Sus scrofa: one gene and its partner. The protein of the gene in region 1 binds, or shares a complex with, the protein of each later gene. Links are inferred from orthologs where the notes say so. Each region holds a gene or a part of one and is shown on either strand. Other genes may lie near its edges.

Region 1 (3,905 bases):
AGAGCTGGAGCCCAGAACTGGACCCAAGCTGTCCTGCCCGCTCAGGCTTGTGGGGGCAGCCACGTCACTCTGCAGGCCCTGGTCCTCTGTTTCTGTCTCTGCCTGCAGTCTGGTCTGCTCTGGGGTGGCTCAACCCCTTGGGGCCTGGTGTCCCCTGCAGTGGTGCTGGGGACCATCTTCTGGTCCTTCTCTGTCCCAGACCCCCGACGCAGAGAGAAGAGCAAGGAGGAAGGCACCAAGGTGGCCAGATAAAAAGGGAATCCCTGCACATATGTTTGCCAGAAGACAGACCCCTAGTTTCTACAAGGGCCTCGGGACCCCAGGCTGCACTCAACAGTTGGTATAAAGGCACCCAATGATGTCAGGCTTCAGCCCCAGACCCTCAGGCTGGAAAGGAAGTTAGGGTTGGGTGAGGGGAGCCTCACCGGCCCACCACATCTGTATCCCCTCCACCATGCATGTCAGGGCAACCGGAAACAACTCTAAATCAAGGGCAGAGGCCTAAGCAAGACAAAACTGCCAGATGCCCCGAGGGGCCCCAGATATGGCTCAGTATCCTCCAGGGAACCTCCCACACTTCCAGGAGCCAGAGGATGCTGCCACAGTCCCAATCTTCTTCCTGCTGCCTTCACCCTGTTCCTGCGGGGCCCCACCGAGAAAGACATTGGGACCATCAGGGTGTGGGGAGCTTGGAAGAGACCCCCTGGGTGTGCTCGCTCTGACAATGCTCCTATGCCAAGGCTATACGAGGCTTGCTCCCTGTGGACACAGGGCTCTCACATTCTGCATCCAGATCCATTCATGCTCCTATACCAGCTGGGCCAAAGGGTCAGGAATGACGATCAGGCTGTTTCAGCTCAGCACCAGGGCTACACCCCACGGGTGCCCCCGCATGCCACTTCCCGTCAGTAAGACCCAGCCTCAAGCACCAGAGGGAAATCCCATGGGCAGTGCTGATTCGGTCTGAGCCCAGACCCAGGCAGAACCGTCACCGGAAGCCCTCTCCCTCCTCTCTAGCCCTCTGCAGGGGAGCACGTGCTCACCCCACAAGGTCCCATGGGCCAGGCTGGGGGCTTATGGCCCCAGTGGGTAAAGGCTTATGCCTGGTTTCCCTGTACCCATAGCAGTCCAGGTGTTGTGGGGTGGTGGTGGGAGGGGATGGATGACGGAGGGACAGACAGCCTAACTCTGCCAAAGGCCTGGGATAGCAACTTCCCCCTTTGAGCCTCAGCCCCCCAGCCTACAAAATGGGAGGGGAGGTGAACCCTTAGTTAAGCTCCAAGGATCTGGTAGCTGGACACACCCCTTCCTGACAACTGGCCTGGCCTCCAACGAGCCTGGGAGAACAGAAAGGGCTGACCAGGACGCTAGGAGGTGGGGACCCACCTCCTAATGCCCAGTGTCACCTCCACCGAGGCCAGAGGCCCTGCCTAGTTTCCCACCCAAGGGTCAGATGTCCCTGGGCTTAGGCCTGGTCTTCTAAAAGTCCGAAGATGATAAGCTCAACCTCTGGCAGGCTCAAGGGAGGCGGCTGGACCCTGGGCCTCCGCAGAGGGAATGAAGGAGGGGTCAGAACCAGGCAGGCCAAAAAACCTGCAGGCCTGCAGGGAGGCCCTGGGCAGGGAATGGCAAACAGCCCATTCTCCTGGGCTCTGGTCCACGCTGACCCCTTCCCCTCCGCTCCAGCCAGCCCCAATACGGGGAAAGGACAGACTCCGGGTGGCCTGAGACAAGTCTGAGGGGCTGGGAGGGCAGTACCTCCCTCGTGAGCCCCCCTCCCAGACGGGCTGACAGTGACTCCCGGGAGATTTCGAACCCGGGAAGGAGGGGGTAAGGGAGTGGGGGATGGGTGTGGACGCCACGGCAGCTGCAACAGAAGCAACAGAAGCGGGACGTACAACCTCCACCCGTCTTCCCCTTGGGAAGCACTCGGACGCCCACCTCCTTCAGGGCCTGCCAGACACTCACCTTTTTCGGGGCACTGCGGTCCGGGCCACCTCGCTGCGGGCAGCATCAGCGGCCTGCGGGACGGTCCATGCGGCCAGCCGAGAAGGGAGGGGCGCAGGGGTCCCCGGGGGGTGCGGTACAAAGAGGTCTGGGTGCGAAAGGAGGGGGAGGAAGGACGGCCAGACAGAGGCAGGGGGATGGCTGCGCGGCCCGGGTCGGGGAGGGAAGAAAGGCGGGGGAAGGGGGGCGGGAGGGACTCAGGGGGAGGAAACAATGTAGCCGGTGAGGCCCCGGCAGAGTTCCGCTTCCAAACGCCGACACCAAGGCTCGATCTGGGGACGTCGCGCCGGCTGCCCCGGGCTGCCCCGGACGCTGGCTCGGGGGCCGCAGGGTCTCTCCACGTTCCACGCCCCGGAGACTCCTGCGGCCAGAGGCTGCCTGGAGCGGGAGGGACGGCTGGCCGGGGGATAGCCCCGACGGCGGCGCTGCCGGGCGATGGCCCAGCTCGGACCCCACCCCGGCAGGACCTCCGGACAGGGTGCGGGGTGGGGCGGGAGCGAGAGGGCGGCGGCGGTCTCAGCGGCGGCGGCCAAGCTCGGCTCGCCCTGGGCTCCGCTGGGAGGAAGCTCGCAGGCCTGGCGAGAGGAAGCGCGGCCCCGGATCCTCCGCCCGCGGCAGCGCGCCTGCGCGAGGGAGCCAGCCGGGAGCACGGCGGGGCGTGGGCTGGCGGGAGGACAGCGCCCTCTGTCGGGATCCCGGGGCACTGCGGGGGGTGTGTCCGCGCCCAAGCCCTGCCCCCACCTGCCCGCCCGCGTCGAAGGCTTCAGAAGGTCCCTCACTGAGGGCCGAACAGTCCGCCTTGGAGCAAACGCCAAAACTTCCCTGGGGAACAGCTCTCCCTATGCAGAAGCGACCTCCTTCTTCTCGTATCTTTTTGTGGAGAATGGGTCTCGCTCGCAGCAGCATTCATTCATTCATAGGTGTTTCCTGGCGCTGATGTTGCGACAGGCCCTGTAATGAAGACCGCTTCATTACTGCCAAGGAGTTCCCAGAACTGGCAGGCCAGCAGACAAGCGCTAAGAAATAATTGATAAAAGTGAAGAAGTGTGTACAGGTCCACAAGAAGCAGAAAAGAGGGAAGGGTAATGGGCAATCTTCATAAAGCTGGGACCCCAGGCAGAAGGAACAGCATGGACAAAGGTAGGGAGAGGTGAGAGCCATTTGGTGGCTCTGGGAACTGTAAATAGCTCAGTATGGCTGCAGTTTGCAGTGTGGGTCCAGGAGAGTCCTGGGAGATGGCGTCCCCGACAGCCGCGGAGACAAAAGAGATCCAAAAAGACTGATGGGACTTTTCTTGGACTTTGTTTTCGAAAAGCCTGGCAGCAATGAGGAAGTTGTCAGTAGCTATGTGACCTTGGGAAAGTTACTTAACCTCTCTGGGCTCTAGTTTACCAAACAGGGAAAGTAACAGCACCAACTTCTTAAGGTTTTGTGGGGAGGAAATGAGTTAATACATTTAAAGAGCTTAGCATGCAGTGGCAGGCACATGGTCAGTCCTTAGCCAAGTATTGCCTGTTATTATATATTACAGTTAACAGGATGTCATCTGCTCTGAGCTACAGGAGCTGATGTGCATGTGGGGGGGGGGGGGAGCATACAGTTTTGGGGGCAGGGCAGTGATGGTGGAAAGACCAGAGACTCCAGTGTAGGTGGGGGTGGGGGGGCACTATCCTAGGGACTGGGCCCTGAAGGAAGAGTCTGGTTTGGGTGGGCAGAGGGGAGGGGCATACTGTGGTGGGGGAAATGAGGTGTACTTGCAAAGTCTTGAAATTCAAAATAAGTGAGGGGCTAGGGACTGAGAGGGACAGTAAAGGGCCCTGTGGGAGAGTGAGCTGAATGTGCAGTGTGGCTGTACATTGCACAGAGAGGAGTTGGGTTTGCCTCCCGAGACAGACCAC
Region 2 (3,813 bases), on another chromosome or scaffold:
TAATATTTGCACTACTCAGATAAATTGTTATGCATTACTTGTTGGACTTGGAGTCAGATGTCCTGAGTTGTACACCAGGCTTGGTGCTTTTCCCTGCAAAAGTCTATTCCCAGCTCCTAGGTGCTAATCTAATATCCTCAAGTTTGATTCAGACAACACTTATATCAGATCACCTTGAGTCCTCCTTAGGAATGGAATTCCAGAACCCCAGCTTTGCCCAGCGGTTGAACTGCAACCAGTGTGGGTAGGGCCTAGGAATATGCTCTGCATTTAAAAAAAAAAAAAAAAAAAAAAAGCTACTCAGGTGATTTTTGCGCAGACCAGGAGCTCTGCTCCAGATTCTAGACCACACTTACAGAAGCAAAGATTAGGTGGTCTGGACCTGCAGCGCTGGCATCATCTGAAAGCTTGTTAGAAATGAAGAATCTCCCCTTGCACCCCAACTTACTGAATCAGAACCCGACTTTTTAACAAAATCCCCAGAAGATTCTGTCATACATTAAAAGTTTGAGAAACTTTGCTGAACCCCAGTATTAACCTGGGAAGCTTTACCACCTAATGGTACCTGGGCCCCATCCTGAGAGTCTCAGGTACTTACTTACTAGTCCAGATTCTGGGGTGCGGCCAGGGCAAAAGGGCTCTTAAGACCTCCCTAAATTATTTTAATGTACAGCCAAGGTACATTGTCCCCTAAACAACCTGAGTTAAATTGGCTTTTGTGGGCTGGCCCTCCGCGCCCTAAAAATCTCTTAGAGTAAACAGTGGTTTTGAAAGGACAATGAACTCTGGTGACAAACAAGTTCAACCACACAGCTTGAGGTTCACAAAACCCTGGGCGGGAGACTTCCTGTATCTCCCCGAGAGGGAGCAGGACGCCGCGCCCGGGTCCGCCCCGCACCCCCACCCAGCCCCGCCCGGCTCGCCCCCTCCCCGCCCCGCCCTCCTCGGTGACGTGCCGCAGCGGGCCGGGCTCATGCGCACTCGCGCCCGGCGCCCCGCACCGCTGCACCGCCTCGGCGCTTGTCATTCTCCGCGGCGCCGAGGCGAGTGCCGACTGCGGTGCCTGTCCGCCAGCTTGTTCGCTCGCTCGCCCGCCGGCGCGCGGGCTGTGTGACGGATCGCTGGGGAACGGGCTGGCAGCTCTACCCCCTGCAACAGCTCTTCGGTTTTTTCCTTGACCGCCTTCCTTGTTGAGTCGCGATTCCCTGGGAGCAGGAGACACGCACCAGGGGCTCGGAGCGCCGCACTCCAGGGCTGGGGCAGCTGCAGCGCTCGGGACTGCGCGGCCGGGTGCAGCCTCTGTCGCTGTCGCCGCCGCCGCGCGGTGCGCCTTGGCGAGTGTTGGGCTCCGGGCATCTCGGAGCCCAGGCAGCTGGTGCAGAGCGCCAGCGCCTCTCCCCGCACTGGCCGCCGCCGGGGCAGTGCGGAGCCAGCCAGGCTGTGCACAGCCGGAGCGCGGGTCCCCCCGAAGAAGGCTCCCTATCGCCTGCGTCCCAGTAAGTTGACTGTAGTTTCTGAAGTTGGAGAGCGCCGTGGGAAGGGGAGGTTCGCTTTTACTATCTTCACGCCGTGGGAAGCCGGGGGTGGCCCCTCTTGTTAGCAGGGTTCCAGCTTGGGGAGTTCAGGGTGCGAAGCCGTGGACAGAGCGCGCGGGGAGAGGCAGCGGTGCAGCGCGGGCTGGCTCCAGCCTTTGCTGAACGTGCCAGTTGGAAATGTGCTGTGAGAGGACAGGTGCTCCGAGGGCATTTCGCCTGCTGCTGATTGCACATTCCGACCCCATTGAATGTGTGTGTGTGTGTGTGTGTGTGTGTGTGTGTGAGAGAGAGAGCGTGCGGGGTGGGGGGGGGCGGTTCTTGTCACCTCCATCCCAGGTCCCCAGGGGAGTGACTCCAGTAATATTCCTGGGTGCATTCGCTCTTTGGGGATGGGAGCTAAGTCATTCCTTCTCAGGCTTCCAGGCTTCCAGGCTTCCAGGCTTCCCGGCTTCCCGCGCACATCCCACTTTACTCTTCCCCCTAGGCAGAAGTTGCCACCGTTTCCGTAATTGGAGCCCAATCCTTCAAGGAAAAACAACTTATATATCAACCCAGACTTTTGCGCCATAAGGCAGATAAAATGAGAAATCGGCGCAGTGTATGTGATTTCATACACTGTAAGGATGTGGGCAAGTCTCAAAGCAGTGGAATTGAGATGATGACACTTGGGTCTCACCCTGACTGTCCTGCACCTCTTATGTAAGCCTCTCGGCAGGATAACTGTGACTCTCTGCAGTGGCTGCAGCTGTGGCTCTTCATTCCATTTGTTTAAAGTCCAGCTTGAATGTATTTAATGAAAATGCTGACATGATATAGCGCCCTGTAGTCTGAAACAGAGTGCACTCTTCGGATTGGAGTGTCTTCTCCTAATAGGGAGCGTTCGAGGAAAAACCCAGTATATTTTTCAAGGCAGCTCCAGGAATTAGACACATAAATCATGTTTTAAAATAGCAGGCATTGTGCAGGGAGCTTGCAGAGGACCCTTTGAACACATCCCTTTTGTTTTAGAAAAAGTGGAAATTGTTCATACCAGGCAGTTGTTGAGTCTGAAAGTTAAGTGTTCTGATGGGCTTAATTATCTTAATAAACAAAGAGCATGATTTATAGGTAGCTGCCCTGGCCTTCTTTGAAGGATAGAATTCTTTAACCTTTCTCTCTCATCTGTCCCCCAGAGATTTCTTTTAAGCAGAACAATAGATTATCATCACTGATGTTTAATATTGGAGTTGATTAAATTTGTACAAGGAATACTTTGAAATACCACGAGGTACTGCTGTGACTGTTAAGACAGAGAATATTAGAAATAAGGAGACTTCAGGTTTTTTTTGGTATGGAAGTCATTAGTTTAACAAAACAAATAACATTAAGACTGGCCTAATATATCTTTTTAAAAATTTGGACTTGTAATAAACGTTGAAACCAAAAACTCAGGGTTGTGTTTTAGTGTAAGGTTTATTTACGTAATCTCGACAAAAAGAAGCACATTTATTTATGGTATTCTAGCACATGGAACAAGATGAACTAGTTAGAGGCACCTCATTTAAAAACATATCATCGTTTTTTAAGGAAGTCTAAGAAAATACACAAAATGTTATTTCAAAAGTTGCAAAGTTAGTCAACACATTATAATTGATGAGAGCATCTGCTGCTTATCTCTAGAAGGGATTATATCTGAGCATGGAAGCTGAAACAAGTGGACCCCCATATGCACTCCTTCATCATGGTTCTGAGGACAGACTGGGGAGCCATGCCGATGGCTCTGGTGCCATCTGTTTGAATCTGGACAAGTTACTTAAACTTTGTGCCTCAGTGTCTTCATCTGTAAAATGAGGCTAATGGTACCTCCATCACTGGCTTGTGGTGAGGATTGAGTTCATAGAGGTAATGCCACTGAACCAGTGTCTGGCTTATTAAACTGGGTAAAAATGATCACTGTTAAGAAAGGAAGAGTGTCTTTGGATCCTGCAGCCATCAAATGGTTGCTGAAGAAGGCTAACAGAAGCAGTTCATATGTTTAATAGGAGAGCAGGTACATTTATTCAACACCTCCTGGTAATGCAGACACCAGCTGGCATCTGACTTACTCTCCCTTTTAATTCCTCACCGAGGTAGGTGGCTTCATGGCCACTCTGGAGATGAGGAAACTGGAGCTCAGCAAGATCAAATAGGAGAAATCGCAGCTCAAATTTTAACCCAGGTCTGTCTCTTTCCAATCCTGTCCTTTTTGGCCCAAGTTGAGGACTTGCGCAGTGCTTTTTCCATCTCTTCTCCTTTCATC

The links.
Region 2: the proteins of CSK (region 1) and PAG1 are in contact, whole or in part, in an NMR structure (PDB 2RSY), measured with the Rattus norvegicus proteins. The link is inferred for Sus scrofa from reciprocal best matches to the Homo sapiens genes CSK and PAG1. Residues at the interface, in NP_001025210.1 of Rattus norvegicus: Thr88, Arg89, Glu93, Arg107, Ser109, Thr110, Asn111, Tyr112, Thr117, Cys122, Glu123, Lys125, Val126, Glu127, His128, Tyr129, Arg130, Ile140, Asp141, Tyr156, Asp161, Gly162; in NP_071589.1 of Rattus norvegicus: Phe291, Ser292, Leu294, Tyr296, Lys297, Ser298, Arg299, Glu300, Glu301, Leu305, Ile310, Met313, Tyr314, Ser315, Ser316, Val317, Asn318, Lys319.

What each region holds. Positions count from the first base shown.
Region 1 is NC_010449.5:58,752,692-58,756,596, forward strand, and holds the start of CSK (c-src tyrosine kinase), read right to left. Parts: upstream 2,344-3,905; 5' UTR 1,969-2,343; intron 1-1,968. UniProt on the Homo sapiens protein: Non-receptor tyrosine-protein kinase that plays an important role in the regulation of cell growth, differentiation, migration and immune response.
Region 2 is NC_010446.5:55,449,847-55,453,659, forward strand, and holds the start of PAG1 (phosphoprotein associated with glycosphingolipid-enriched microdomains 1), read left to right. Parts: upstream 1-977; 5' UTR 978-1,496; intron 1,497-3,813. UniProt on the Homo sapiens protein: Negatively regulates TCR (T-cell antigen receptor)-mediated signaling in T-cells and FCER1 (high affinity immunoglobulin epsilon receptor)-mediated signaling in mast cells.